Linked DNA regions of Nothobranchius furzeri. The protein of the gene in region 3 binds, or shares a complex with, the protein of the main gene of each other region. Links are inferred from orthologs where the notes say so. Each region holds a gene or a part of one and is shown on either strand. Other genes may lie near its edges.

Evidence for each region.
Region 1: stx5a (region 3) and sybl1 share a complex: the UniProt entries of both Homo sapiens proteins name them as parts of the SNARE complex. The link is inferred for Nothobranchius furzeri from reciprocal best matches to the Homo sapiens genes STX5 and VAMP7.
Region 2: stx5a (region 3) and bet1l share a complex: the UniProt entries of both Homo sapiens proteins name them as parts of the SNARE complex. The link is inferred for Nothobranchius furzeri from reciprocal best matches to the Homo sapiens genes STX5 and BET1L.
Region 4: stx5a (region 3) and stx18 share a complex: the UniProt entries of both Homo sapiens proteins name them as parts of the SNARE complex. The link is inferred for Nothobranchius furzeri from reciprocal best matches to the Homo sapiens genes STX5 and STX18.

Annotation. Positions count from the first base shown.
Region 1 is NC_091741.1:28,155,423-28,158,202, reverse strand, and holds the end of sybl1 (vesicle-associated membrane protein 7), read right to left. Parts: intron 1,838-2,780; coding exon 1,770-1,837; intron 1,686-1,769; coding exon 1,593-1,685; intron 1,485-1,592; coding exon 1,416-1,484; 3' UTR 569-1,415; downstream 1-568. UniProt on the Homo sapiens protein: Involved in the targeting and/or fusion of transport vesicles to their target membrane during transport of proteins from the early endosome to the lysosome. Required for heterotypic fusion of late endosomes with lysosomes and homotypic lysosomal fusion.
Region 2 is NC_091754.1:42,729,079-42,733,641, forward strand, and holds the start of bet1l (BET1-like protein), read right to left. Parts: upstream 3,108-4,563; 5' UTR 2,881-3,107; coding exon 2,862-2,880; intron 572-2,861; coding exon 486-571; coding exon of another isoform or gene 482-485; intron 1-481. UniProt on the Homo sapiens protein: Vesicle SNARE required for targeting and fusion of retrograde transport vesicles with the Golgi complex. Required for the integrity of the Golgi complex.
Region 3 is NC_091741.1:87,974,145-87,977,993, reverse strand, and holds part of stx5a (syntaxin-5a), read right to left. Parts: intron 2,157-3,849; coding exon 2,101-2,156; intron 2,013-2,100; coding exon 1,942-2,012; intron 1,833-1,941; coding exon 1,716-1,832; intron 1-1,715. UniProt on the Homo sapiens protein: Mediates endoplasmic reticulum to Golgi transport.
Region 4 is NC_091743.1:54,501,483-54,506,055, reverse strand, and holds the start of stx18 (syntaxin-18), read right to left. Parts: upstream 3,100-4,573; 5' UTR 3,039-3,099; coding exon 2,886-3,038; intron 654-2,885; coding exon of another isoform or gene 566-653; intron 1-565. UniProt on the Homo sapiens protein: Syntaxin that may be involved in targeting and fusion of Golgi-derived retrograde transport vesicles with the ER.

The DNA.
Region 1 (2,780 bases), about 60 Mb from region 3:
AACTGCTGCGGCGAAACCGCCCAAAATGATGCTAGCAGCGGTCAAACGGCCACGTTTATCTGTTCACTTTCAGTTATCAAATCAACAGTTAAGTTTTAGGTAAATATAGGTTTAATTTAAACGTAAAATAGCAAAATAAATCAGGTTTTCCTGTCCGAGTGGCATTTACATTCCTATTTCATGAACTCAAACTAACCTGTGGCTGTCACACAGAGCACCCCAAGTGGTCACTAATTAGTCCCACCTGGATCGGTTCGGTCCATCCCACAGCACCATAACTGAACCGGTCTGTTGTTTTAATGCCACACACATTTAGTCCTGATGAACGAACGGTTCGAAGTTAAGCCGTACGTGGCAGGAAGCGCGTGGTAAACATTCAATTAACTGTTTCAAAACAGAAAGCAAAACCCCGCCCCCCGCGCATGCCAAGAAACCATTAAACAAACACCACCGCGAAAATCACATCGCATAACTGCATTTTCATCATTTTCAGTGACTGGGCCTCATCAGTGTCTAACACAACAAACTTGCAAACTTTTTCCTCTCCCAGATGAAAGTCTCAATCTGATATATGTGATCAGTTTATTAATTTAAATCTGAATGTACAACAATTAAATATCATATAACCATGTTTTACGATGCCAGTAAACAATGTATATACAATATGAAAAGTGCATCGTGTTAAGTGAAAAAGATGGCAACGCTGAACATCCCGTAAAAGATCAAAGGGAAACCTTTCATCAGGTTCACAGCCAGGACAAGGTCCAATTCTTTCACAGGATCGGAGTTGCTTTAAAATAATCCTCAAGTGTCAGTAATATCAGATATACATTTATTTGTATGATCAACTCTGCCTTTTAACATTTATTTTATGTGTTAAAGCTAATTCAGAAAACATGTGAACTGCATTAAATTATTCAAAAAAAAAAAAGCTTTCAGCTGTACAACCCAGGACCAGACACTGTGTACTTCCTGACCGACCTGCAGCAGATGCTACCGACGCATGCAGGCTCTGTTATGGATGGCATCAAAATAAATCAGAACAATAACGTTTGACTGGACTATTTACACAGATGGGTGCAAGACAGTATCACAATCTGATCATCAGGTCACCAAGACGCTGGATCAACGTACCAGGTGAACAAAAAGACGAGATTTATTCTTCCACATCAGTTTCGGGCCATGTAGGAGCTGTTCACAAGTTTAGGTATAAAGATGAACTCCCGGTCCAGAAGGCAAATAAATGTGCAGACGTCATTCAAAATGAGAATGAAGATAGAGGAGGAAAAAAAGCACATATCTTTCAGAATTTTTGAAGAAAAGAGGAGAAAGGAAAGAATGTTTAATTTCCTTTTGTCCACTGGCAAGCAAAGCTGAACCGGCACTTGTGCCCCTCTTTTCTCCCCACTCCCCTCTCATTTCTTGACACACGAGGGCCAGCTGAGTCCTCCACAGGAAGCAGAAACAATGATGTAGATGATCACCTAAAAAGAACACACAGTGTACTTAGCAAGAGACATTACTATAGAAACAATGCTCCAAGTTCCTAAAAGACACCAACTAAACAACAAATAACCGCAGCCTGGACTTACCAGGCACACCAGTACAATAACACACGTCAGCTTGAGGTTCTTCATACACATGGCCCGAGCAAGGTTCCGACTCGTGGTTTTAAACGTGACTGACTGACGGAGCAGAGAGAGGAAAAAGATGTCAGCCATCTCGCGGTTAGCTCAGAAACAAGAATGGCAGCCAGCTAATCCACTCACAGCATCAACCAGGTTTTCCGTCTTGTCAATCAGCAACTCCAGCTTCTCTCCTCTCTGAGCGACCAAGTCTGTAAAAACAGCACAATGACCCCATCAAAGGGTTGTTTTCATACAGTAATCCACACATTTTCAGGTTTCAAGCACTAAACAGGTACAGCATGGAGAACACACCAACTGATAGAATCACTAAGATGCTCACTTGAGAGGAAAAAACAAACAAAAATACACTAGAAACCCAAAATGACTCCAACGAAAATGGTTTTTTGCTCAGAATTCAAAGAGCTTCTTTTCTTTTCTGAGCTGCAGCATCTCAGGCATGAAGTGAGCATAAAATGTGTTCTATAATTATTGTCACAACTGCACTAGTGCGTTTGTAAACGTGTGGTGTGGTTAAGTGCCAGGTATAGCCTGGAGCTCCTGAGCTTTTTGCTAAGACAGAACCAGGACTACAGTACCGTATTAACTATTCAAGTGAACAAACAGTAAAACCCAACATCAGTGACAAAGAATCAAGTCAGTCTGTGAACAAAGCTGTCACAAATATGGGCTGAGATTGGACAAATATCGCCACCTAGGGGCCCCATTGTGTCTCACAGGAAAAGTGTTCTCACACATGCATATTATACTCATTTATTTTTGAATGATGCAGCTTTATTTTACTGATTTGGTTGTAAGTTTCCTGTTGAGGCAACAGAAAACTTAGTAAATAAATAATGGTAAGCAGCACCTTTTCTGCCAGGTGGCTGCAGAACCTTCACATATTTTACTTCAGTCGAAAATTAACTAAAAACAATGTCAGATCTATCAAAAACAAGTAAATTTTTAGGTGTACGAGGAAGCTCCAATACAGCTGAAATATTTTTATGATGGCATTTATATGTACACACAATAATGGAATAAGGCAGTTAACTAATACACCTGTAGCTAGATGCAACTTTATTGACGAAAACAAAATATTACTTTTTTATATGTTCGCTGTTCAAAATGCATCACAGACCATTTTAAACACAA
Region 2 (4,563 bases), on a different chromosome or scaffold from region 3:
GGTTTATTATTCAAGTAAGGGTAAAAAAGTATCTGATTAGAAGGCTACTTGAGTACTGAGTATCATCTGATCTAATATTTTTAAATGATGACATCAAACAGACATAAAATAAGAAGTTATGGGCAAATATTGGTATTTTAAAGACTAAAGGAGAAAAATGTAAACAAATAAACAACATAATTACAAAATAACACATTTTAGGCAAAATTTTGACACAAACTGAGGACAATATTTTCCTGATATACAGGGTTTATTTAGTTATCTGAAAATGTAACACGTTAACAAAAATACAGCGATAATACCGAAAACCGTGATAATTTTGGTCACAATAACCGTGAGGTTAAATTTTCACACCGTGACAACCCTACTTCTGAACAAGTTTCAGTTGCTTCACAGCTTTTTTGGGAAGACCAAGACTTGCTGCTGAGAAAAAAGTGAGTTTGACAAACACCTAGAAAAGCTATCAACTCATCGGACTCACATACAGATTTGAGTCTGGAGACTTTGGTGGCCAGATTCTCAGCCATCCGTTTGTTTTCAGCATCCAGCATGTCGTCAACTGAGCCGTGACCTGAACAAGCACAGAAATACAACCTGTCACATTTCTGTGATGGTTTCAAACATCTGCTTTATCACACTAACTAAACGTCTCGTCTGTAATAGATTTAAAACAATGTTAATACACAGATCTCAATAGTGTTAATTCCATTCGTTCGTAAGGAATACTTTTTCCACACAAAAACTAAATGAGAATTGAAATAAAAGGTTGGATTAAAGACTCAAAGGATCAACATGAAACAATGAAAATCCAATGAGAGGACAGGGAAGATACGAAGAACGAACAAAAGAACCAGTCAGCAAATGGAACAGGCAGAACTAGAAAAGAACCAGTCGAAGTCCGAAGCTTGGTGCTGTTTGAACAAGATCCTGTTAAAGTGACAGTGTGTAGTTTTCACCTTTAATCTCTGGAAATATCCACCGAACTGTTGTCGTAAAAGAATTAAAACAGTTGTTGAAAAAATATTGGCAGTTTAAAAACAAGTTACCATAAAGATCTGTTGTAAAATACATTGGAAAGGGACAGAGGGTGTTTCTCAATGCCAAGGAACCTCGCCTTGATGTCTTGACCCTGCCCCGGTTGCCTAGGAGATACGTCATCAGGAGCTGCCAAGACGCGTTCCAATGTTCATGTTCTACCAAGGCGTGTGTTCTCCGTTAGTTAGCTGTTTAGCTAGCTGAGCAAGGATACACAGAAGGTGTCTTTTAGCCTAGCCTTGGCAAAACTTTCCCAGAATACACCGCAGTATTTTCAAAAGCATGGCGGATCAAAAACCGGCAGCTACTTCGGGGGCAAATTTCAAGTTTAAAAGTAAGAGAACTAATTTAAAATGTTTCTTTTTTAGATCCAACGAAGTTATCTATTGTTGGTTGGCTGCTTATTAGTTGCAGCTTCGGTGGCTAGCGGGTAGTAACTTGCTTATATTTTTAATTTAATAAACATACACAATTTTAAAAGTAAACACCTCGTTATATATTTATATTGAAACTAATACGTATAAAATATATCGTTATGTCCCGTTTCATGTGATGTTACATGGCTGTCGTGGAAGCTGCGGTCACGTGATGCAAGTCTGTTCCATTTAAACGTTTTCTTTGACCAAGGAAGAACAGTGTCCTCGTAAGTAAGGCACCTGGCCTAGCAAGACATCGCCTCGCAAAGCCAGGTGCCTTCACATTGAGAAACACCCTGTCACCGAGCGATGCCATATTGGATGCCATGTTTCCTTCTACGGAAGTCTGAGGACAAAATGCATTTACTGATATGTGACAAGTGGTTATAAACTTTGAGCATTAATACACATTGTTGCTTTACACATTTACCTCTTCACTCGTTTAGTGATGAAAGGGAATCTGGTGTTATTTTGATGGAGGTTGCACTCCCAGGGATTTTTGACCCTAAGTGCCATCAGTTGGTAAGGTCTTATTTGAACACAAAAATAATGCTTGCTTGCTGTGATTCGGGTATCTACTGCCCCCTATCGCCAGGAAAACTACACATGGTCACTTTAGGCAACAGCTGAACAATTTATGTCAAAAAAGGAGAGAATGTCCACGGCTGGGAGGAAAAGCATTAAAAGTGATGATCTGGAAAAAAAGACTTCTGGACAGAAAAAAAGCAAGGACACCAACTTTTACTTTGAAAGTGTTATCAGTTAAAACTGAACTGAGATCAGAGTCAGCAACAGGATCAGAACATAATCAGGTGGGAAACAGATTAGAGTGAAACATGCATTTCTTCAAGACGTGACTGATAAAGGTGTTCTGTTTTATTTTTCTGTCTCTGTGGTGCTGTGTGACCTGTACTTACATGTGTGTACTGCTCCGTAGTAAAAGTAACATTTAAAACCTTTTTTATACTAGTGGTGCGTTCAGGAAAGGTTTACTTAAAGGAAACCCCGGTTATGTTCCATAAAGACCATCTTATGTCAGCCAAATTATCCAAACAAAACTAAATATGAAAAGTAAGCCTCAAATCCTGTTTTACTGTTGTTGTCTGCCCTTTCACCATTTAAATGAAAGTCAACCACGAGCTAAACCTCCGATTGTCTTTTCTTTATTCATAATCTGAGAAACGTCCCGTTTTTATCGCTTTATCTGCTTTGCTCAGCGAAGAAGGTGTTGTTAAACAGCTAGTGCTAGCCTCATGCTAGCCCAGCTGGGGGTTCGGGCTCTGAACCGTTGGTTCTGATGTCTGCTGACGTCACAGTCCCCCTCGCACCGCTATAAAATGGCATTTCAACCATCAACATCACAAATAAACTATAAGATAAAAGTGAATACGTGTCCAAATTCAAACCCACCTCTGTTCCAGTCCGCCATGTTGGTGAGCTACGTCACGATCAGGTGCTCAGCCACGTGATCACCGCCAACAGTCTAAGGACAGCTGTGGTAGGTTGTCGTATCATTTAATCAAAACAACCATCTATTGTCTTCTAGAATTTTTTTAATTAGCCAGATTTTCTATTTATTGTTCAGAACTAAAGTTGAAAACATTTAAAAATCATACTTCTATAACAACTAAATGATAAATGCCAAATGAGCAAAGAACACGTTTCTTAAATCAGTCCCTCCCTGACTATACAGATGATTGCAATATTTTGTGATAATTTCAGGTTTAATATAAGTTTAAAGTGACAGTGTGCATTTTCCCTGGCGACAGGGGGCAGAAGATACCTAAAGCAATGCAAGCAAGCAGTATATGTGGCCGTGTTCCAGATAAGCCAGTTCTGTGCAGATTAGATCAGCGGTGATCGGCGAGCTGTGCATGGCGGTTAGATTTGTGTCCAACTTGACGCCGACTTGGTCTGACGTCATGCATACGTAGGCAACGATAACCTCGTGAGATCAAAGTGGCCGCAGATTTTGGAGCAAGGTGCTGCAGTTACTCTCCCTCGGCTGCAAAACCTTGGGGTTGACGGGAAACGCCTGTCTCTCACCTGATCTAAGATCTGATTGGTTCATATTTTGATCCGAACATCCGGTGGTAGAACATAAAATGTTAGTTGGTCACATGTATTCTGTGAATCATGTTATGCTGATGATGACAACAATATAGGCCATAAAGAGAAATGTGTTTTGTGTTCTTTTGTCACGTTTCCTATGAGCACACTAAATCTACAGCTGATAACCTTTACTTATTGTTACAGTCATGTCTTCATATACAATATATGATATCCAGAAGCACGTGAGGATGTGTTTCAGCTGCTAACAGGCACCAGAATTAAAACTGAAAATTAAACAAGTATGAACGCTAACGCGATGTGTTCATCCGGTCGTCACCCATGAGCTACACATGTAGGGAAATTGAGGTTTCCGTTCAGCCCACAGCACAGAAACTGCCCTGATCCGTGTTATGAATGATTTACTTCTAACTGCGGATCAGGGCTCACCATCTCTCCTCCTCCTACTGGATCTGTCAGCGGCGTTTGACACTGTGGACCATACCATCTTACTAAATCAACTCCAGACTGTGGTTGGCCTTTCGGCAACCACACTACATTGGTTGCAGGAGTACCTTACGGGCAGAACGGAATTTGTAGCTTCAGGACAATGTCAGTCATCCCCCTACACTGTAAATTGTGGAGTACCACAGGGGTCAGTTCTTGGGCCAAACCTTTTCTCCATCTACATGCTTCCACTTGGACAAATTTTCCATAAATACAAAATATCGTTTCACTGTTATGCAGACGACACTCAGTTATACATGAAAATGGACTCCACTATACCTAAAACTCTTCCATCTGTACTTCAGGTCTGCCTGGAGGAGATGAGCATAACAGCATGGATGATCGCAAATTTTCTTCAACTAAACAGTAATAAAACTAAACAGTAATAAAACGGAATCTATCATTATCGGCACTCCACATCAAACACATCAAACACAGTCTCTCTCCCTTAGCAGTAATTCCATTTTCGGTCATGACATTCCCCTTTCCTCTACTGTAACAAATCTTGGTATCAGACTAGATTCAAATCTTACATTTGACACCCACATCCGCCACC
Region 3 (3,849 bases):
CTTCCAATGCAATGGTAGGCGGGGTTTTTCCTGCGTTCAAATTTGTGCGGCGGCCGCCTCCAGCTATTTTTCTGCCGCCCCATCCTGATTTCACTCTGCCCCCAGCTATATGGATGTTATTTTAACATCCATGTTGAGTGGAGAGGACGCAGAGCGCTGATCGTTGGTGCGCCCGCTGCGTCCACCACACGATACATTTTCAAGGTGGCACAACAAAACTATTATTAACACATGATTATTCATATCTGTTTATATCCTCTGGTACTCTGTCTTTTAATCGTTCCTGACACGCTCCGCTCATCCTGTGCTGCGGTGATTTCACCTCACTGACGCAGCATCAAAATGCGCACTACGCTTTGCGGTCAGGAGATCCCTTTGATCTGTTCAAAAGTAACTGATGAGGTGAAAAAGTAAGAAGCCAGACAGCAGCTTTTCTAGAGAATTTAGAGGAGATGCAGGAAGATGAGAGACAGACAGGACAGGACAATAGTCAAATAAAAACAAGAAAACAAAGCTTGAAAGTAAAACGTACGTAGATTTATCTCCACTACACGTTTTTACCAGTATAAAACAATAAGTTATCCACATGTAATATTTGTACATCTGATACAATTCAGATCACCTTCAAAACTCAGTCACACGCCCAGGGCCGTTTCAAGGCATTTTGGGGGCCAAGGCAAAACGGAACACCCCCTAACCCTAACCCGTACATAATAGACATGCCACCATTACATTGTTAGCAGCAGAAATTAAATGTTATTACCATTTCCAATACAAATGCATGTTAATGAAATGCATTATATTTTACTGGATATATTTGTGTTATTTTGACTAAGATGAGTGTTATTAATACAAACCTAAAATGTTACTGAAATATAGGTCATATTTAAAAATATTTTTAACTATAAATATCAGATGGGAAAAAGGAAACTAAACACTAATCTAAAATTATTGAGCCTTTTATAATATTTTGCCTTTAAAAAGTGAGGCAGTTGAATGCACAGAGTATGCATGTGCTGGCACATGGTCAGGGTGGTACCACCTCTGCCTCAATTTGAGGCAGGAAAAACCCTGGTAGGTATGATGAAACATTACCGTTAGCACTATCGAGATGTTTTTTTTTATAAAGTACAAGTTATTTTTGTGAGCCATTACTTCAACCCAGAAATAAGAGGCTCAGATTAAATCAAACCCTGCTTCCTGCAATGTGAATTTCAAATTAGCACACAGCTGCAGACTTGGAGACCAGAGGTTCAAGCTGACATGTGCAACTCAATGACTGCATTATTTAAAGTGCAGACTAGACAGGAAAGAAATCACAACTGTGGAGATTAAAGTCTCTGCTAGCTACATGGAGAGACTGGGTGTTAGTGTTTACAGTCCAGGGGAGGAGGGATGCAGACTCAAAACCACCTAGATGAGGATAATAAAGTCGTGACATAGCAATAACCCACCCAGCAGCATGAAACAGCTTAGCAAAAAGTTGCAGAGCTAAAGGAAAGAAAATGCTTCGACATAAAAATGCATGCACACATGCATAAAAATAAATAAATTTGGGTTGTTTTTCATGAGGAAGTAATATAACATGGTCAAAACCCTCAAAAAGTAGATTTTGCATGATATAAGACCTTAAAATAAGTTTTTTAAACCATTATTTTGAACAAATATGAAATATACCATATGCAGATCAGATATTACAAATACACAAAATGTACCTGTAATGAGACCACTATAGTGTTGGAATGGGTCTGGATGTGTCGGCCACCAGGAGCACTGCGGGACCTGATCAAGTCCTGCAGCTGTGCAATCTGTTTGTTTAGGCTGTTGATATCCTTTGGACAGAAGAACATATGAAAAAGTCAGTATTTTAATAAACAAAAACTGATATTTTTAATACACATTTATAAACCTCACACCTGCTGGAGAGCAACTTCAACCTACCTGTTTAATGATGTAGGTTAGCTCCTCAATCTCCACTGCCTTGTCATCAAATAAAGATTTCTTTTTGGCCACTGAAATAACAAAGCAATAGCACGCAAAAATCAGCACTTCGGAAAACAAAATATTTATTTCTGCAGAAATGACAAAACCATCACTTACAAATTGTGAGTTTTTCCAATTTGGCAAATGTATTGCTTAAGTCTTTCCCAATCCTCCTGCAAAGAAACAAGCAGATGAAACTTACTTTTGGTTCTCAGTGTTTCCCCTAGAAATTTTTCTAGCTGTGGTGGTTGTGGTGGTGGGTGGGGATTATGACACGTCTCACCTTTATGTTAATATTGTTTTATTTGATGCACTCCACTTTGAACTGCACCAATCCAGCAACTGCTGCATTTTAATAACTAGTATTAAAAGGTGAATACACCAATATTTGCACAAAAATAATTTTTGTTTTAAACTCTCAGTGACACACTTTGCAGGGGGGATTTGGCATTTAATTTTTCTTGGCGTCTGGAAAAACATCTCCTTTTGCCCCCCTTTATTTGACTTTCTGCCCCCTTTATTTTGGTCCGAGATCATTACTGGGCTGGCCCTATTAAAAACGTTCTACACCCCTGCTTAGTCGACTTAATGAAGTATTTTTAAGTCAGTATAAAAATGACTGAAACACAAATTTACATATTTGGCATTATTGACCAATATCTTTGATTTAATTTATTTGTTAAGAACATCAAGATGCGTTACAGTGATCATTATAATGAAGCACATTTTTCTAGTGCAGAGAGGAGACAACCCATAGAAGCACTGATTTGATCTCATTTCAGAGAAAAATAGAACAGGTCAGATGCACCTAATAAATAAAATTACTAGCATAAACTCAGGAATCGGTTTCTTTGCTTCATTGTTCTGGTGCTGAAAATATCACTAATGTCAAAGGAGATACACAGATGAATGCAACTCCTACTTATTATTTGGAAATTAGTGGGTGTGGTTTACATCAATACATTATTTTAAATCTGAAATTGATATGGATTGATCAGAAGTTGCTATGTGTGTTTATTTGAAAACTATTTACAGAGCAGCCTCAGAATTTAGATTAAATATTTTTGACCACAATAGTAAAGGAACTATTAAAGAACAAGTTTTTCAGTAAAATCAGAACATTAATATTTAAGTATATGAGTTAATACATCTAAACTCATGCAGTAGGAACTACTGACCCCAATTGAAATACTAGAACAATTAAAATACTAGAACCAGACAAACCTTTTTAATGTTTTTATTTTAATTTGATTAAACTGATTTTTTCCTAACGTTGTTGGCATTTTCCCCACACAAAGTTAAACAAAACAATGTTGATTAAGGTGTGTGTGTATGAGAGAGAGACAGAGAGAGAGAGAAAGTTAAAATAATTTTAAAAAACCCGACCGGAGATGAGGCAGTGACCGACGCAGCATGAGCCGTTTTCAGCTCTGTCTTGTCAAATGCACCACGTATGTTACGGAAAAGGTAACTTTAAATATTCAACCGAAAAAGAGGCGAGCTGAAGAAAACCTAGGGAGTACTGAAGAAACGTGAGCAACAGTGAAGCAATCACAGAGAGATCCGTTACTGTCTGTGTGTGTGCGTGGATGCCTGGGCCGGACTGAGCTCCCGGCTGCAGAGTTTTGTGTGTAGGGAGGGGCGGACGCTCTATGTGACTGGCCAATCACGGAGCATGAAGACAGTTACCCAATGGGTATTTTCTTTCAGCACGATTACAGATATTTATGAGTTTTACTCGTTTCATGCTCGTATTCATCAAAAATGCTTTATCCGCCCTATCTGTAACCACCCTGCCCTGCCTCCTCCTCCTTGCTGCCTGCCGGCTTTCATCACAAGCAACAACAGAGTAGTTCCCGCTGCTTC
Region 4 (4,573 bases), on a different chromosome or scaffold from region 3:
TGACCGTCAACATTGTTACTGGGGACCTAATTTAATATTTTCTCTGTTTTGATCTTCCACCTTTAATCACTGGCTCTTGGGAGGATCGGCTTTCCTCAAAAATTGTTTGAGAGCCGAAAGAAAATGTTATTGTAGCATGTTTATGGAATCATACATGGGAAGAGGCGACTTGGGCAAAAAGGAGGAAAAAAATGCTGCATATGTCAGGCTGTACACAGAAGAATGAATAGTAGATTTGGGGAGATGTGGATGAAAACCGCGACATAACTTTGAGCAGTCAGGATATTCCAGATGCGCAATTTCAATTTCTACATAAACCTTTTTCTGAGATGATATCTGCAGCAGAGGAGACAGCAGGAGGAGAAGGGGCGAAGCATGAGGCAGGAACCACAGGAGTTTGGGTTTCCTTGGAATCAGCAGCAGTGCTTTTATTAAACCGCCATTTCCAATATCAATGGAACAGAACATAACAAAAACCTGGTTGAGCAGAAGTAAGAGCCACTAGGCTCAAGTTTGCTTCAGGCTGATGGTTGGAGCCATCGGGCACCACTTAGAGCCCTCTTACCCCATGGGGAACATAAAGTGCTTCTTCAAGTTGCCTTTGAAGACGTCTCTGTTCATGATATACAGGCACATTCTTTCCAGATCCGATGCTTCAGCACAATTTAGGAAAGAAAAAGGACAACAAATTGAAGTTTATTTAAATTAATACTAATAACTTTATTTCTGTATTTACATAATTTTCTTAATTTATCTACCAAAAACCATCACATGTTCAGGAAGTACATTGATAACAAACATGTTTATATTACGATTAAATTCTATAATTGTCGCTAGTACATCCTCAATTTGTGGCTGAATTAAATGATGCACATTCCTGTGACAGGGCAGATGGCTGGTAGCCTGGCCTGCCAGATTCATCCTCTGTTTAACTCTACACAGAGAACTACTCTGGTTACTCACAGGCAGAGAGGCACATGAGGGGGGCAGGTTTTCAAACTTTATAAAATTAGAAAATTTTAATAGCAACACCCAAAAGTGTTGCTCAGCTTGAAGTTACACATCTCTATCTTCTGGTGTAAAGCAAAAACTTCATAACGGATTATATTTGCAGCTGTGGCTTCTAAAATGCAGCAATAATGCGACTTTGGTGCTTAAAGGGTTAATTCTACCAGTATTCTCAGCAGGCCTTTCAGTTATAAGCCTGTACATTTACAATTTATTATTTTTATTTATTAATAATTTATTATTATTTATGAGTGGGTTCAAGTGAAACGTTTTATTTTGAGTTTTATTTTATATGGTGCTTTGTTATTATGTTGGTGCTAATTTTTTTTTATATTTTTTAAATAATTGATTTATTGCAATGCCTTGATTTTAGTGAGGTTTGCACACATTGAAGCAATAAATTCAAAGCAATAAAATAAAATAAAATAAAATAATATATATATATATATATATATTTCACTTGACTCCGGGGTCTACTGTCAAGCTCCAGTCTAAAAGCTGATGATAGTTTGATGCTTTGCAAAGTCATTATTGAAAAGAAAAAAGTGTAAAGACATCTCATTGGTAATGCAATTCAAGTTTTTGGCTCTTGTGTATTCAAAGCAATTAATAGTTTCAATGTGTTTGTTTCAGCTTTGGCACTGTCTTATGAAAATTAATTCTTATCAGTGTAGGAGATGTGTTTCCCACATAAATAGCTGATGAAGGACTATATTATTTTCATGATGTAAAACACTGCAGACAGAGTCATGGACCATTTTCTTACTTATTTTGTGTAATAAATTACATATTTTATTACATAAAATAGGCCCCCTCTTGTGTAGCGGAGATAAAATGGATACATTTTAATTTCATATGTGAGGCATTTTTATTTTTCTTCTCACACTGAACACCTATGTGTAAAACTTAATTTTTAAAAATGGAGATATTTTTGATGTAGTGATTTACATCAAATTGTTAAGTATCTTAATATTGTACTGATTTTTCTGTTGAACTTGTCAATATCTAGTACACACACACACACACACACACACACACACACACACACACGATTTTATTTGTTGAAGTTATTAATTTCCTATAAAATGAATCATTTTAGGAGAAAATATGGTTAAGTCAGAAAACATGGAATATAGAAAATAAACAGAGAATAGAAGCGTTTTGAAAAAAGTAAAATAGATTGGGTCCTACGGATCAGAGCACATCCTAGATTGTGAATTACATCTAAGGACTGAGGAAGATGCTGGTTTTTTTACACTCATCAAACCTACAGATGACTGATTAGAAAGGTTGATAAAAGTTACTCAATTTAGAAAAAATCTATATTAGGTTTAAGAGTACCTTTGATTGAAGTTGGTTTTAAAAAGCAAGTTAATTGAATATGGCAAGTTAAACACTCTGATTTGAAGATGATCACGAGTAAAATGTATCTCAGAGTCACTAAATCATATTAAATATTCATGCTATCTTGTTTAATTACTGTTCTTGAGATTTGTATTACAGCTATAACTTATTTAGGCCACTTCTTTTTTTTAAATTTTCACTTTAAAATGTAACATATTTTATTGAATTGGCCAAAATGCAAAACAAACTTGAACGAATACCTATATTATGTGCATTTTAAAACGTTTCAACTGGCTTTATTCAGGATAAATATGAATGTAGCATTAGCTGCCAACTGTACAGATACCTATTATAAAAGTTTCCGGGTGAAAAGTTTACCCTCTGCTTTAAATAAGAGGCGCTTGCTGCCTCTCAGAGTCTAGTAAAAGAATTCTAGTCGTTAGTAAATTTTGTTTTAAGAAGCCATACAACGATTATCAGGATCATATGGAGGCTGTCAGAGCTAGTTTCGCTAGCTGCGGTAAAACACTCACCACTTCTTTAGCTCGCGGTGAGAAGCCGCCCTTCGGTTTGCTTTTCTTAAAAATCTCATCTTTTGTAGACTCAAAGCCCACTCCTATAGCCTTGTTCCTGGTTTTGACTGTCTTCACGCTCGCTTTGAAAAGTAAAGTTATATCCACTGCCATGCTTCTCTGTGTGCAGCTGCACCACGACACGGTAAACAAACTGACACGTCACCGAACATGATGTCATTCTCCTGCGACGCTACAGGTTTTCCCTGAGCTGGAGAAGAGAGCTTTAGAATTTAGGTTTGGACTGTTTCAGCAAATGAAAAAGATTTTGCTTCTTTATAATAATCACATACGGTGAGCCTTCCACCTTATATTGTTTAATTGATGTTTGTTTTTTAAGGGAATAGTTTTTATAATTGAGAAAAACCCTTAAAATTAACAATTTAAGGTTAAAAAGTATTAAGAGAAAGTCTTTTTAAATCATGGTCATTTTGAATATTATCCTGTATATTTTAAATGTTATACTGTTTCTCTATTTATCAATTTCATTACATATAATAAATGTTTCAATACCAGGCTTTTGCAGAATTTAATAATGCATTTTTATAGCATGCTGTTGAAAAAAAGTGTATGGGGAGGAAAATTATCAGAAGGTGTGCCTGGTGAATGAGGGTCAGGAAAAGCTGATAGAATTAACTTGTTTTTGTGTGTTTCCTCGAGGAATAACCCTGCAGTCTGTTAAAGGGATGTCTAACGAGACCTGAACAGGACTGTCTTCTTCTTGCGCCGCTAATGCAGAATTCATATTGAACTCTGAGCCCATTACTATATTTTTACAAGAACTAATATGACATTTTTTCTCAAAAGAAGGATTTTCTGCTGAACAATTCGTGACTCCAACAGTTGTTTCCGTTATGAACCTGTCAGCAGGACTCTTTAGTCTCTGAACTGATGGAAATTCAACAACACGGGTGACAGAATTTAATATGGATATCCTGAACTTACTAATAAAACTGTGGAAGAGGATTAGGGCAACTGAAAAGAAAGAGAAATCTGACTTTTTTCTCAGATTTATGACTTTTTCCCCCTCAGAATTGTCAAAGTTGGAAATGTGAGAATAAAAAACTTTAAATTCTAAGACAAAAGCTAGAATAGTCTTTTTTTCATTTTTTTCTTTTCAGTGGCCTTAACCCTCTTCCGTATTAATCAGAATGTGATCGGTTTAATCAATTTCCCTCTGGGATTAATAAAGTATGTTTGAATTGAATTGGATAGATAGTGAGAAATTACTGCAATATAATTGCAGTATTATTGTAAAAAATGTAATACATTTTATACATGTTAATATTTACAGTTGTGATTAAAATAAAAATGATCACACAGTAGAGGAAAATAATCACACAAAACCAAGCTGTGATGGAACACATTAATCCAGATCTATCAATTTTCATCCGCTCATCCAGGGTTGGGTCAGGGGGGCAGCAGCCTAAGCAGAGATGCCCAGATTTTCCTTTCCCCAGCCACTTGAGCCAGATCCTCCATGGGATTCCCAAGGCATTCCCTGGCCAGCTGAGAGACATGGTCTCACCAGCGTGTCTTAGGTCTTTGCTTGGGTCTCCTTCCGGTTGGATGTGCCCAGAAACCCTCACCAGGGAGGCGTCCAGGAGGAATCAGATGTCCGAGCTGAGCCACCTCAACTGGCTCCTCTT